2 linked regions of the Sus scrofa genome follow. The protein of the gene in region 2 interacts with the protein of the main gene of each other region in a biochemical or structural test. Links are inferred from orthologs where the notes say so. Each region holds a gene or a part of one and is shown on either strand. Other genes may lie near its edges. The genes, in order: CACNA1H and USP5.

Evidence for each region.
Region 1: the proteins of USP5 (region 2) and CACNA1H form a complex in vitro, tested with the Homo sapiens proteins (2 studies listed by BioGRID, with this or other methods). The link is inferred for Sus scrofa from reciprocal best matches to the Homo sapiens genes USP5 and CACNA1H.

Annotation. Positions count from the first base shown.
Region 1 is NC_010445.4:40,634,269-40,641,270, forward strand, and holds the end of CACNA1H (voltage-dependent T-type calcium channel subunit alpha-1H), read right to left. Parts: intron 6,382-7,002; coding exon 6,260-6,381; intron 6,065-6,259; coding exon 5,641-6,064; intron 5,557-5,640; coding exon 5,429-5,556; intron 4,898-5,428; coding exon 3,914-4,897; 3' UTR 3,152-3,913; downstream 1-3,151. Other genes in the region: tryptase-like, read left to right, coding at 2-62, 229-400, 512-777, 885-1,048, 1,131-1,295.
Region 2 is NC_010447.5:63,847,454-63,855,107, forward strand, and holds part of USP5 (ubiquitin carboxyl-terminal hydrolase 5), read right to left. Parts: intron 7,464-7,654; coding exon 7,338-7,463; intron 7,086-7,337; coding exon 7,019-7,085; intron 6,839-7,018; coding exon 6,705-6,838; intron 6,538-6,704; coding exon 6,392-6,537; intron 6,114-6,391; coding exon 5,929-6,113; intron 5,025-5,928; coding exon 4,930-5,024; intron 4,323-4,929; coding exon 4,129-4,322; intron 3,443-4,128; coding exon 3,371-3,442; intron 2,820-3,370; coding exon 2,732-2,819; intron 2,606-2,731; coding exon 2,480-2,605; intron 1,999-2,479; coding exon 1,845-1,998; intron 1,505-1,844; coding exon 1,330-1,504; intron 725-1,329; coding exon 636-724; intron 1-635. UniProt on the Homo sapiens protein: Deubiquitinating enzyme that participates in a wide range of cellular processes by specifically cleaving isopeptide bonds between ubiquitin and substrate proteins or ubiquitin itself.

The sequences.
Region 1 (7,002 bases), on a different chromosome or scaffold from region 2:
GATGCTGAATCTGCTGGTGCTGGCGCTGCCACTCCTGGTGAGCCTGGTCCACACGGCCCCCGGTGAGTCCTGGCCCCGGGCCCGTGCCATCTCTGCCCGCTCAGCCCACACCCCACATGCCCAGCGATGGGTGGGTGGTTTCCGGGAAGCCCGGGGTGGTGCTGGCAACAGGGAGGGCTGAGCCCGTGGCCAGGCTGTGTCCTGTCCTGAAGGCGCTGCCTGCTCCAGCCCCAGGCCAGGCCCTGGAGCGAGCAGGCATCGTGGGCGGAAAGGAAGCCCCTGGGCACAAGTGGCCCTGGCAGGTGAGCCTGAGATGCCTCGACCAATACTGGAAGCACTTCTGCGGGGGCTCCCTGATCCACCCCCAGTGGGTGCTGACCGCGGCGCACTGCTTTGGACCGTGAGTCTCCATGGGGCCTGGTGGGTGGGGGTGGGGGTGGGCCCGGGGCTCCACCCAGCCCCTGGGCTTCCCGAAGCCTGGTCCCTCCCTGAAGAGGTGTCCCCTCTCCAGGGAAAAGGCTGACCCCTTGTACATCAGGGTCCAGCTGGGGGAGCAGCACCTCTATTACCAGGACCGGCTGCTGCTGGTCAGCCGGATCATCGTCCACCCCAACTACTATGACGAGGTCAACGGAGCGGACATCGCCCTGCTGGAGCTCGAGGACCCCGTGAACCTCTCCAGCCACGTCCAGCCGGTCACCCTGCCCCCGGCCTCGGAGACCTTCCCCAAGGGGACACGGTGCTGGGTGACAGGCTGGGGCGACGTGCACAGTGGTTGTGGGTTTGGGGGACAGCCGGAGGGGGACATGGTCACCTCACAGCTCCACCCTTTTGGGGAACAGCCCTCCCGCCGCCGCTGCAGCTTCCTCGCCTCTCGCCCCCAGGGCCCCTGCCACCGCCGTATCCTCTGAAGCAGGTGAGGGTCCCCATTGTGGAAAACAGCGAATGCGACATGCAGTACCACCTCGGCCTGTCCACAGGGGACAACATCCCGATTGTCCGCGACGACATGCTGTGCGCCGGCAGCGAAGGGCACGACTCCTGCCAGGTGGTCCGCATGTCCCCCGCAGCCCCCACCTGCCCGGGCCTGGCAGCCACCGCTCACCCCTCCCCTCCCCTCCTCTCCGCAGGGTGACTCCGGGGGGCCCCTGGTCTGCAGGGTGAATGGCACCTGGCTGCAGGCGGGCGTGGTCAGCTGGGGCGAGGGCTGCGCTCTGCCCAACCGGCCTGGCATCTACACCCGCGTCACCCACTACTTGGACTGGATCCACCAGTGTATCCCCAGGGAGTCCTGAGCCTGGTCCCTGGGTCTGCAAAGCCAGTCACCTCCTGCCCCCACACCACTGCTTCCTGCCGAGGTGGCTCCTCCTGCACCGTGCCTGGCCCCCCACCCTGAGTCCCCCTCCCACCGAGTGCCCCCTGCCCTGAGCCCCCCCCCTTGCCCTGAGCCCCCACACGTCTCGTCCCAGGGAGCGGGCCGTCAGCACGATCACTCATTAAAGAGCATGGAAAGCAGAGGTGGCTGTCACTGTGTCTCTGGTTTCGTGTGTCACTGAGGGAGACGGAGGGGGTCCAGGGCCAGTGGGTGCCTCCGCCATCAGGGTGGGTCCCCACCCCTGAGCACCCGGCGTTGTGGTGGGGTTGGCCCAGCCCTGCCCCTGGTGTTCAGGGCCGGCTCTTCAGCGCACTGGCTTGTGTTTATTTTCAGTGCGTGGCATCGTGCTTTGGGGAGAGATAAAGGTTCATGGACCATTCAGAGGTTCTAGAGGCACCAGGTTCCCCGCAGTGAAGTCGCAGCCAGAACACAGACGCCCACCCCCAGGTCCCCCTATTTCCCTGCAACCTGTTCCCCACCCAAGACCCGTCCTCCGGCAGACCTGCAGGCAGGACCACTCGGCCTAGGAGTAGCCGTAATTGCCCCAGGGATGCCTACCAGGTGTGCCCAGGTGGGCGAGGCGGAGGATGGGGGCTCCCGGCTCTCTGGCATCCTGGTCCTCACTCCGCTCTGCCCCCAGGACGACCCGGAGGGCCTCTGGTCTGACAACCGGTGTGGTGAGCTGCGTGAAGGTTGCGGCCACCCTGGCGGGCCCACATCCGGGCTCTCCTGCCCTCTGACCCTAGACCCATGACCCCTCCCTGGCAGGGAGGGCGCAGCCCAGAGTCTGGGTCTGCAGGAAGAACCAGTATAGCAGCCTTGGGTCCAGCCCAGCTCAGCGTTTTCTCCCTGTGAGAACTGAGGCCAAGGTCACAGGCAGGAGGGCCTGCAGACCCAGGGCTCCAGCAGGTCCAGTTGGGCTCCCCACACCCATCTGGCAGAGCCACCTGGGACTCTGGAGTCCCGCAGTTCCCCACATAACCACCAGAGGGGGCGCTGGCACCCCATTCCACACCTGCCAAGAAGCGCTGGGGAAGGGCTGGCTGCAGCCCCCAGGCTCCCAAGCTGGGGACTTGCTGCCCACCCAGCTCAGAGCAAACAGGCCCAGGCCTCAGCCAGGTAGAGCCCTCGACAGCCCCTCCCATCACCTAGATCAGCCTGGAGGTGGGTGGGGTGGGTTGGGTGGCCTGTTTGCTGTGTGGAGGGAAGGGCCTGGACCCTATCCTGGAGCCAGCTCTGTTGTGCGTGCAGCACCCCCCCAAGGCCACAGCCACCATCCATGGTCAAGAACAAGTTCATTCTGACCTGGCCCCCTTCTGCACCTGTTCTCACAAGGAAGGAGCCGGGCGTCTGTGCAATGGGGCTGGGGGCAGAGGCCAGCAGGATGCGAGGAGGGTGTAGGCTCAGAGGTTTCAGGGAGGGAGATGGGGAGGGGGCGCCCCAGGTGGCTGCCCACTCTCCTGGTGGGGAGTCTGTCCCCTGCTCCGCGGGCTCCCATCCCTCCCGGGAGCCTGGGCAGAAACTCCTTCCTGTGTGGGATCAGACCTCATTTCTCTAGCACATGAATGATGCCATGTGGTTCCAGCTGCCATGGGAGGCAGGCTTCCCACCTGCCACCCGCCCCAGCCAGGGATGCACAGGCAGGAGGGGGTGGGCTCTGTGGAGCCCCTCGGCCCTGGCAGTGGTGGTGCCATCACCAGCTCAACCCTCGCCAACGCCTCAGACTTGCTGCCCTCCCGTGCGGGGGACCGAGTCGGATGCTGGAAATCCAACACGTTTCTTAAATAAGTTAATATTTATTCGGCTCTGTTTTGCCCCCTCTCCTCCCCTTGACTTGAGAAGCCACATTTTCTACATCAGATTATTGCAACATTTCACCTGAATTTATAAAAGAAATGACATGAAACAGGGGCATCCGCTGAAACTCTCGGCCCAGGCCCAAAGGCCACGGGGGGGTCTTATTGCCTGGTCCCTGGTGCCTGGCCATGGCCCAGGGACCAGAGTCAGGGTCGTTGTCTGGGACGCCGACGGGGGCAGAGCGGTGGGGGGTGGGGGGAGATGAGGCAACAAGAGGAGGTGGAGACAGACGAGGAGAATTCAGACTGTGAGCGACGTGAAGCGTGGCCTCTGTGGCCTTGGGGACGGAGCCGCCACCCAGAGGGCACACGTGGCCCCAAGCGTGTTCCCTAAAAAACTTAGTGGATGTGAGGGTAGGGCTCTACCGGGTGACCTCCTGCCTCCTCTGCTCATTTTCTGGTCCTTGTCCCTCGGATGCAGCTTTGTTACCGGACTGCTGACCGGGCCCCTGGCACGGCCTCGGACCGCGGCGGTCACCTCGGAAAATCCCAAACCTGAACCGCGGGATGGAGGCTTCGCCCAGGGTAGCATCTGCCCCCGTCTCCCTGGGCCGACGTCCTCCCGGCTCCTCTGCCTGCGGGGGGGCCTGAGCTGGGGCCCACGCACAGCCCCACTTGGTGCTGCCACCCCGCTGGGCGCACCTCACCCCAGTGCCAAGGCCTGTGGGCGCTGCACTCCGAGCTACACGGGCTTGTCTACACCGTCGCCTGGAGCGGGGGCTGGGGGGGGCCCTTTCTTCAGGGGGCTCTGCGGGACTGTGAGGTGCAGCCTCTCCCCCTCCTCTGGGGGGTCTCCCGAGAGCACTGAGGGCTCCATCTGCTGGGGTTCGGGAGGCACCATGGCACCAGGACAGGGTCTGGGTTCTGGGGTGACCCCATGGCTGCCATCTGACAACGGGTCCCCACCAGGAGCCCCCATGTCCAGTGGCTCAAAGGCAAAGCTCGGGACGGTCAGGTGGTCTGTGCGGCAGGGGGCCTGGCCCCGCCGCTCCCCCTTGGCGGCAGCGTCCAGCCCTGCACTGTCCAGGGGCTCCAGGGGGTCCCTGTGCGGCGCGGCCTCGCAGGACGGGGTTCTTCGCCGGAGGGTGGTGCTGCTGCCCTCAGCCACAGGGGGCCGGGCTGTGCCCTCGTCCTCTGCGGGGGGCTCAACAGAGATGCAGGGCGGGCTCATCTTCTTCTTCCTGCGTGCGCCCAGGGCCAGCTCAGCCTCCGGGGCCCGAGCCTTCACCACCCCCGCCTCTGGGAGGCCATCCCCGCAGCCCTGCTCCACCGAGGGCCGCCTCTGCTCGTCCGCCTGGCCCGGCTGGTCCAGGAAGCCCTGGGCATCGACACTGTAGAGCCGGTGCAAGTCTGGCTCGCAGGCCGCAGGCGAGGCCACGGGGCCGCGGGCGGAGCTGGTGATGTGGCTGACCTCCTCGTCGGCCGGGTCCGGGGCCTCAGCCTCCTCCCTGCCTGGGGCTGGTGGCCGGCTGGAGATGCAGTGCTGCCCAAAAGTGTGCTTGCGGATGCGGACACTGGCGGGCCGTGGGGAACGGGGTGGGGAGCACACGGAGGCCCCCAGGGTCGCCTGCCTCCCGGGGGTCTTCCTGCCAGGCTCTCCCCAACTGGGACTGCTGTCCCCGGGGCTGCCAACCTGCCCCTCCAGGGACTGGGTGGCCAGGGCCTCCTGCAAAGACACGGGTCAGGTGAGCCCAAGCAGCAGCCAGGACACAGGGACCCCGTTCCTACCCTGATCTAGGATGGGCTCCTGACCCCAAGGCTGAGACAGGACTGCGAGATGCTGGTATGGGGGCACATGGCCAGGGTTGGTCACACTGGAGAGAAGCCATGAGGAGCAGAGAGCTGGGGCCTGACCTCCTGTGGGCAGAACCTGCCACAGGGCCCTGGAGACCCTGCTCTGGAACCTGCCATGGAGGACTCGGCCACCACCTGACCCCATGCAACACCAGCCCACTGAGGCACGCAGAGGCAGGAGAAGGGGAAAGAGGCCGAAGCCTCAGGCGGGGGTGGTGTGGGTACAGGCGAGGCTGGCCGGAACCGTTGCTGGGGATGCCTGGGGATGCCAAATGCCGTCGTCATGGGCTCTGGGTAACCCACCAATATTCCCAGCGTCCCTGTTGCTCATCCTTCAAAAGCCGGGGAGAGCCATGGGGCCCCCAGCCTCAGCTGAGAACCGGGGGGGGGGGGGTTCTCCTACCTGTCTGCAGAGCAGCCGGCTGAGACTTGGGGAGTGACCTGCACCCCTTGCAGGGGAGGATGCAGCCGACGGGACCTGGAGGGAGGTGCAGGATTCCGCGGGTGGCGAGTGGATGGAGGTGACCAGGCCTGGGGCAGGAGGGGCCTGAAATGGGCATCCGACCCCTCCGGCTGCCCTGCCTGCCCACATCTGCCCGCCGCCAGGGGCCTTACCTGAGGCGCCCGCGTAGCTCTCCATTTCCACGTCCTGCGGCGGGTGGGGGTGAGCGGCCGCAGCGGGCGCCACCGGCCGGAACATGTAGCTGTCGTTGGGCAGCGACAGCATTCTGGACACGGACACCTTGCGCACGACCAGCAGGTTGGAGGGGTCCGGCCCCGCGCCCGGGCTCTGCGGGGCCGCGGGACTGGGGCGGGCGGGCGGCCTCTGCGCCAGCTCCAGCTCGAGCTCGGCGTCCAGCTCGGCATCCTCACGGGCTTCCTTGTTGCTCTCCTCAAGGTGCTTCATGAGCACGGCCACTACCACGTTGACCAGCACGAACTGGGCCACCAGCACAAACGTGACGAAGTAGATGGGCGAGATGGCCGGCAGGTAGCTGAGGCAGTGCTTGTCCTCACGGGCGCACTCCCGCAGCGTGTCCTGCAGCGGAGGGCAGCCTCCACCTCAGTCCGAAAGGCCGCCCCTGCCCCTAGACGCCCGCCCCTCCGCCCCGCCCCCCGCCGCCCTGGTCCCGCCCGCCTGCCCCGCCCCATCGCCCCACCCACCCATCGCCGTCCCGGGCCCGCCCCCCCGTCCCGCCCCCTCCGCCCCGGGCCCCGCCCCCCGCGGCCGTGCCTTCATGATCCCGTTCCAGTTGTCCCCGGTGGACACGCGGAACAGCGTGAGGAAGGCCATGCCGAAGTTGGAGAAGGTGGCGTGCCTGCTCAGGCCCTCACAGGGGTTGTCCTCACTGCACTCTGCCAGAAGGGACCCGGTCAGCACCCGGCTGGGGCCAGTGCACACCTGGGTCCTGCCCTTCCCCAGGGCTGGGCTCTGGCTCAGCCCAGTGGACAGCTCTTTCTGCTCCCCAGGCCCAGCTTTGGGGTCAGCATGCCTTCGGGCTCGAGCTGCCCTGGGCCAGGGGCGGCAGTCATCAGGCCCAGGGTCTGGCACACCAGCTGCCCAGTCCAGTTTAGGGCAGACCCTAAACCATGACCAGCACCTGAACACTGCACAGGTAGGCGTGCCGGAAGCCACTAAGCCTTTAGTGACACTGAGCGGGAAGGGAGGGGGCTGCCACGGAAGAGCTGCACAGACTGGCCAGAGACTCAGGCTGGGGGGTCCAGGGAAATCCTGGGGACAATTCGAACTTGCGGCAGCATATCCCCTGGGGCCAGGTGGAGCTCAGGTCAACACCTGCGTGTGCGCACATGCTGTCCTCCTGGCCTGCCACCAACACGTGTGTGTGTCACATTCTGGCACCAGGCTTTTGCGTGTGCCTCCTATGTGGTCACCTCAGTCAAAGACAGAGCCTGAACTGTCCTGGGGCCAGGTGAGCATGCGGGAAGCTGCACCTTCCAGGACCCAGGGTCCAGGGG
Region 2 (7,654 bases):
CTTCCATGGGGCTCAACTTAGCTAGGAGGTCAAGTTAATTCTGCAGTTCACCAAGTGGTCAGGGGCCTGAAGACCCATGAGAACTCATTATTTTGAGATTATCAAAATGAGGAGATTATCAAAAATGACTCATCAGAAACAAATCTGACTAGTATCCATGAGGACGCAGGTTGGATCCCTGGCCTTGCCCAGTGGGTTAAGGACCCAGTGTGGCTGTAACATGTGGTGTAGGTCGCAGACATGGCTTGGATCCGGAGTGGCTGTGGCTGTGGTGTAGGCTGGCAGCTACAGATCCGATTCGACCCCTAGCCTGGGAACCTCCATGTGCCTCGGGTACAGCCCTAAAAAGATAAAAAAAAAAAAAAAAAAAAAAGATTATCAAAATGAAACCATCCTGCCAATTAGAAAACACAAAACTAGGAACATCACTTCTGGCTGTAAATTGTAACTATAAAATCAGAGAAGCCTTGATACTTTTAGTCGGTGCTTTTCACGGTGCTAGACACATTTCGAAAGCAGCTAAGATAATGTTTCTACTTTGAGAGAGTTGGAGAAGCACCAGTTCACAGCTTAAGGCCCCTTCTTTTTCTTAGCACTTTCTGCTTAACCTCCCTTGCTCGTCCCAGCCACCATACCCAGTTTCTTGGGCACCCAGTCTAAGCCGAAGGTGAACTTCTTGATCTGGATGACCAGGTAGTCGGGGAATGAGGCAAATCGTGTGGTCCTAGGGAAGAGAGAACATACAGGTACCCAGGGAGCCTCTCCGAAAGCTCCACGCTGGGTTCAGCCTCTCATGGATAGAGACCTGGGCTGTTAAAAAAGCCCAGAAGACACTCCATGCTTTCTTGCCCTGGGCAGGCATCAGGGCACCTGCGGATAAGGAGCAACAGAAGCTGGAGGCGGGCTGCCTGATGGGCCAGAGCAGCCAAGGGGCAGGTGGCTGGAATCCCCAAGACCAAAGCACTCTTTCAGATCTCAGGTTCATGCCAGTGATGAGGTAGCAAAAAGGCAGGCCATGTGCTGGAAATCTCAGTTCCGTCCACAACTGTTACTAATTTCTGTGCTTGGTCTGGAGTGGGGGACAGAGCAGAGAGAGGCTGCAATGGAAAGTGACCCCGGCCCATGAGAGAAGAGGGACTGGCGGGGGCAGGACAAGGTAAGGTAGCAATTTCCTGACCCCGCTCCTGTTGGAGCCTCTGGGTTCCCTCAGGACCAGGGTACCAGCCTCAAGTGATAGAAGCCTGAGATTTGGACCACAACGGGAGAGGATGCGACGCTGACAGCATCTTTGGGATGACGCTGCCGCAGGCCGGCACCCACAGGACTTACTTGACGGCCACGGACTTGGCCTGCAGGGCAGTGCTCCAGAAGTCATCCACCTGCTCAGGGGCCCCATAGGCCTCCAGGCAGGAGCTGAAGGGCACCTGTGCCCGAACCAGTTCTGGCAGTGGCAGCTTCTCCTCCTCGGCTTGCCGCTTCTTCTCTTCATACTCCAGGAGCTCCTCTGGTGATGGAAGGGGTGGGTGGGTCCTTCTGGGTGGGCAGGAGCTGCTGCTTTCCCTCCTCAGTCTTGCTCTACTGGCTCGGGGTCCGTGACCATCTCGGCTCCTCTGCCTCCCCAAGCCCACCTGATACACATCCTCCTGCCTCTTTCCCAACAAAGCTCTGCTGACTGGCTGCAAGCAAGGGTGATCCCAGCTCGGCCCACAGGCCCCGCTGGGCAGGTCTGGCTGGGGACAGAGCTAACCTTGGGCTCTGCTCCTGTAAGGTGCCCAGGCCCCGCCCCAGAGCTCAGACTCCAGGTGCCCCCAGGTCCCCGCCGGGAGAGCAGAGGGCCACCTTACCTTTGTTCAGGGCCGCGTCCATGGGCACAGGCAGCTGCATGATATAGTCCACGCGCTGGGTGTACTTGACCTTCTCTGTGGCCAGGCACTTGATCTTCTCCTCCACCAGGAAGCGGAACACCTCGTTGGGATTTTCAGAGCTCCGGCAATTCCTCTACGGGAAAGAGGCAAGGTGGCGGGGGGGGGCAGGGGGCGGTCTGGGCAGTCAGGCCCTGGCATGGGGGCCCCCAGAAGTCACTGTGGGGGGCGGTCAGGGAGGAAGGGAAGTAGAAAGGAGACGACCACGAAGAGGCAGAGGGATGCAGGAGCAGAGCAGCAGCTTCCCCTATTCAACCTCCCGCCCCCCCCAAGTGGCCGCCCATCCCACAGCGTGGGCCTGCGTGGGCAAGAGCCTCTCCTTTCTTTCTGAGCACCAAGCACCAGCCTATCATTTCCTTTGCATGCATCCTTCCTGAGGCTGCAAGCCCATCAAGCAAAAGATCGCTACTCTGCTGTCCTCAGGTACAGGGACGGCGCAGGGCCGGAAGGCTCTGGGGTCCCGGGGATGGGACGGGGGTGGGGCCCACAGAGGAAAGACAGGGGGAAGTGCAGGCGCAGAGAAGGAGTGTGACGAGTGGCCCCCTTGCCATCCTCACCTCCACCATGTTGATAAGGTGAAGGAAGAACTCTTGGGCATCCTGCTGCCGGTTGGTGGAGAACTCGGGGTGACCCTTGCTGATGAGGGCCTTGAACATCCGAGGGGCAATGCCATCTTGGACTTCCTAGGCAGAGCCAGGGCATCGATTCAGCGGGGGCCCAAGAAGCCACCAAGTGGCCTTTATACAGCTCCCAGGCCTCGGTTTCCCCATAACTCCAGAGTCTGAAAAGGGACAGAGGCCCAGACACACCTTTTGCTCTGGCACCTGCTCGCCGTCGCCCGACTCTGGCGCTGGCTTGGAATACTCTCCCGAGAGAAGGCCATGGCCCAGCTTGGCCCTGGATTAACAGTCAAGAGAACAATGTGGCTTCTGTCAATTAAGGATTGCCTGATACCAAATCTACCTCTTCGCCCGACTTGATCCCTGCCCAAAGCCCTCCTCCGACAACTCTCCAAAACGTGAAAAAACAGGAGTTCCCATTGTGGCGCAGCAGAGATGAATCCAACCAGTATCCATGAGGAATGGGGGATTGATCCCTAGTCTTGCTTAGCGGGTCGGGAATCTGGCATTGCCGTGAGCTACGGTGTAGGTTGCAGACACGGCTCAGATCTGGTGTTGGCTGTGGCTGTGGTGAAGGCTGGCAGCTGCAGCTCCAGTTCATCTCCTAGCCTGGAAACTTCCATATGCCATGGATGCAGCTCTAAAAAACAGAAACTTCAAAAAGAAAAAATAAATATGAAAAAACTTAGGTTCCTCAGGACCCCAACCCAAAGCAGACAGCGTGCCCAGAAGGCAACCATTTGAAAGCTTCTAGCCGGCCAGGGACTAAACTACTGCCCACTCCAGGGGGTCATGGAGGAGAAAGAAGGTACACAACTGGCTACATACACCTGGGTGCTGAAGTCCTGGGTAGGGTCCGTCGGAGCATTCTGGAAGATCTTTTCCAGCTTATCCACATACCTAAGAGCCAAAGGAAAGACTGCTGGAGGGGCTTGGGCTCAGGCAGGCCCAGAGAAAAGCGAAAGGGAGCCATTATCTACTAGCTCAGAGAACAAGCCCCCTCCGGAACAGAAGGGTACATGGTTGCACCTGAGCGTCCATTTCTTTCCAGCAACCCGTGCTTCCCCCCTCTTCCCAACTGGGTCGGCATGCAACATAGCTCAGCTTCCTCCCCAGCAGAGCCCAGAGATGGGAGAAAGCCACCTCGGAGGAGAGATGTGGTTCATATTCCACTGAACACAACTTGTTCGTACATTCGAAGCTCTCACATACACACCGGGCCTTGGCAAGTAGACAGGAAACTCGCTGAGGCTAAGCATTTGCCTTTCTTCTATCTTTGGGTCTCAAGCCCTCCCCTCTCCCCAAAGGCTCCATGTCCGTGTGAGGTGCTCATCTGATGTCACTGGCTAAGATCAAGACCATTTGCTGGCCCTAAGTCAGTCAGGAGACCTAGGAGAGCCCTGGCGGGGGGTGGGGGGGGGTGTGTGCACCCGGCCCCACCAGTGTGTGTGTCACCAGGTGACGGTGGTGTGGTCCTGTGACCTGCTCCCCTCACCGTGCACCAGGAATAAGACTGAGCTGGCACCGAGGTCCGGAGAGGAGCCGGGGGGCTGGGGGCGCAGAGCCAGGGAGAGCGCAGCACTCACTTCCTCTGGAAGTCGGGGATGCTGAAGAGCACCTGGACCACGGAGTTGAGGTAGCAGCTGTTGCCCAGGTTGCGGATGCCCGTGTAGCCAGGCCCGAACAGGGGCTTGAGCGGCACCCCTGACTCCTGGATCAGCTCCCACTCGCCGATGCGCTGGTTCATGTCTATCTCCAGCTCCGTCATCGTCTTGTCCGTCTGCAGGGCAAGGGAGCTTCAGATGGGCTGAGAGAGAAGCAGCCTTTATGCTGACCTCTCGCGGGGTCTAGGATGAGGGCCAGCTGGAGGCTGGAATTTGCTGAATTATGGACTCCACCATGGGCGGCCCACTGGCTCTCCTCCAGGGCGAGTTCCAGAAGGCCACAGGCAACCGTCCCGGGGCCCTCAGGCCTCAGGCTCAATGAGGGGATGAAATGAACACGACTCCCTCTAGCGGAAGTGTTTCTCCATCCTGAAGTCGCCCCCTCACCCCCAGATCTCCACCCAAGCGTCACTTCCTCAGGGCCACTTTCTCAATCCCCTGGACTAGGGGGCCCCTCCTGTAAATGCCTGTGGCACCTCCACAGTGGGCGGTCATTCATTTCTCTGCATGAGTCTGTGAGCCACGCCTGCCTCTCTTCTGGAACGTAAGCCTGTCTGGGTCACGGTGACTAGCACCCAAGAGATGTTCAGCAGTATTCAGTGAAGGATTAGGTGGTTCTAGAAAGTTCTGCACAGGAAGCCCACATATCCTGGAGACCAGGATCACTGGGGCATCTCCCCCGGCGGGCCGCCTCAGCCTCCAGGGAGGGAAGTGGGGCCTCACCTTCTGCATCTTCAGCATGTCGATACCGAAGTGGGACAGGTGCTCGGCCAGGTTGGGGTCCAGGACCATGTCATCCTCGTCATATGAATACACGTCTAGCACAAGAGGCAGAAACGGTGTCACAGGGGGTGGCTCTGGCCTGGCCTGGCCACCAACCAGCCCTCCTAGGTCCCCTGGTGAAACAGAAGGACGGGCTAGGAGGCTGACCCTCCTGGCTCCCTGGAGCATCAGTGAGGCCGCAAGCCCTCCTGGGATGGGCGGTCAAGGTTGATGGGATGAAACAGGCTGAGGGTTGGAAAAAACCCCACACCACAGAAGAAGGTTCTAGACTGAGATGGGTTTGGAAGGACAGCCACTAAAAGATAATGATGGGAACCGCCCGGAAGGGGGCTGGGATTTGGGTGTGTCTAGGGGGTTAATTAAAATTGAAGATTTGCTCCCACCTGCAATACTTCCTTGCTTTTTTTTTTCTCTTTTCTTTTGGTTTTTTTTAGGGCTGCACCCGAAGCATATGGAAGTTCCCAGGCTAAGGGTCGAACTGGAGCTGTAGCTGCTGGCCTACACCAGCAACCCACTGAGCGAGGCCAGGGATCAAACCCACATCCTTATGGATACTCGTTGGGTTCATTATCACTGAACCACAACGGGAACTCCTGCAGTACTTTCCCCGTATTTTTTTCCCCCCATTTTTGGCAACCCTGAGCCACATGGAGCCCCTGGGCCAGGAGTCAGATCCAAGCTGCAGTAGTGACCTAAGCTGCAACTGCGGCAACGGTGGATCTTTAACCTTGGTCGCCTGGCTGGGGATTGAACCCATGGCTGAGGGCTCCGGAGGGGCCACCAATCCCATTGTGCCACAGCTGGAGCTCCTGCAGTAGTTTTACTATTGATCGAGAGGACGAACGAACTCATGTCTTACTCGTGTCCTACGACATGAGTAACAGTCAAGACCCAGCGGTTTCTGCGGGGAGGTGGCGGGCGGGCGGGGGCGGGGAGTACCAGCGCCGTCAGGTGTGATGGTGCCCAGCTTGACGGCTAATGGGTAGCCCGTCTCCTTGAAGTGCTCCACTGCGTGGTTGTTGCCCCCGCTGCCATCGAAGTAGCGCCGGCCACAGAGGATGGAGCCGTCTGTCAGGTTGAGCCACAGGTTCTCCCGCATGTCACACTTGGAACACTTCCAGCCACTGGTCGGGGAGAAGAAAAGTAGCTGAGTTGCACGTCGGGGCGGGGGGGGGGGAAGGGGGGGTCATGAGAGCGGAGGACAGAGGGGACTCTGTGCACCACCCGCCAGTCCAAGACCCTGCTCTTCGTCTCTCCTCCGGATGCCCCTGGCTGAGTTCAGCTCCCCAAAGTCCCCCTTCTGAGTCTGCTCCCGACCCTCTCTCCCACCAGACCCCAGGAGGGTGGCCTCTTTGCCCCTGCTCTAGGGGTTGCGCCCCGAGGTGGAGGGGCCAGGCCTCACCAGGGAGGGATTCGAGCAGGGTTGTCCAGCTGCTTGAGGTTGAAGGCATGCCTAGACACCTGCCGTACCTCCCCATCCCAGGCCTGCACCTCCTGCTTGCGGGAGGCCGAGTCAGCCGACAGCAGGGCCTCCACTGCACTGGTCACCTGGGGGAAGCAGAGGATCAGAGACCAGGACCCAGCCCCAGGCCCCACATGCCCCTCCAGTGCCATGGACTTCAGCTTTCTCTGTGCTTGCCCAAGACAGCGCTGCTCTGGTCCCGCCTGCCCTAGAATCTTCGGGGGGCGGGGGTGGGGGGGAAAGATATTTGTACCCGATCTCTGACGATGTCAGGCAGTCCCCCCAGCCCGTCCCGGGCGATCTCCAGGTAATCTGGCAAAATGACGATTTTTACATCCTCATCATAGTCAAACTTCTTCTCGCTGAGGTCAAACCCGCCTTCGATCCCTGGTGAGACAGAGAAGAGGGAGGGTAGGACGCCCCCACAAGTCGATGCCCCCTCCTTGGCCTTGTCCCCTGCAGAGCTCCAGGGCCCCTGACCAGGCCCATTCTCTGGGGGCTTTCCTGGCAGCTCTGAGAGTGGGCAAGACCAGCTCAGGGAGAAGAATAGGGCAGCGTGATGCTCACCGATAGCCAGCCGGGTGGGCTTCTTCCGGGGCGGGTCTCCAGTGCCTGCGGTCGTGTCTTCCTCTTTCTGCAGTGAGGCAGGAAGGGCAGGATCAGCCGTGGGCACCGGGGAAGAGACAAATGAGGGGGGCGGACAGGATGGAGTGGGTTCATCTCGGAAGAGAAACGAGCTACAAAAGCACCCGTGCTGAGTTGTAAGGACCCCAGCAGAAATAGGTGAGTCCAGGGGAGGTCAGCATGGAAGAGACAGATGCAATGTGGGGGCCCAGTGGGATGGGCCTCGAGGTCCCCGGGGCCTTGCCCCAGCCCGTGTCCCTACCGGGCGCCGGGTCCGCCGGAGGTGTAGGTAGACTCGCTGGCCTGTCTTGTTGAAGTGTCTCTCCACATACTGTTTGCTGAAGCCCAGGAATGTGTTCATGCAGATGTAGAGGCCACCCTCAGACTCCTGCAGGGCAAGAGGCAGGGGAGGAAATAGGCAGGATGAAGCCTGGCCGGGAAACACCAAGACCTGGGGTCAGACACTGCTGGTTTCCAGGAGAAAGGTCTGTTCTCCAACACTGGGGAGCTTATGGAAAGTCACTTGGCCTTTCAGAGCCTGGCACGTGGCTAAGAGTCTCCCCTTCCTCCTGCAACCTG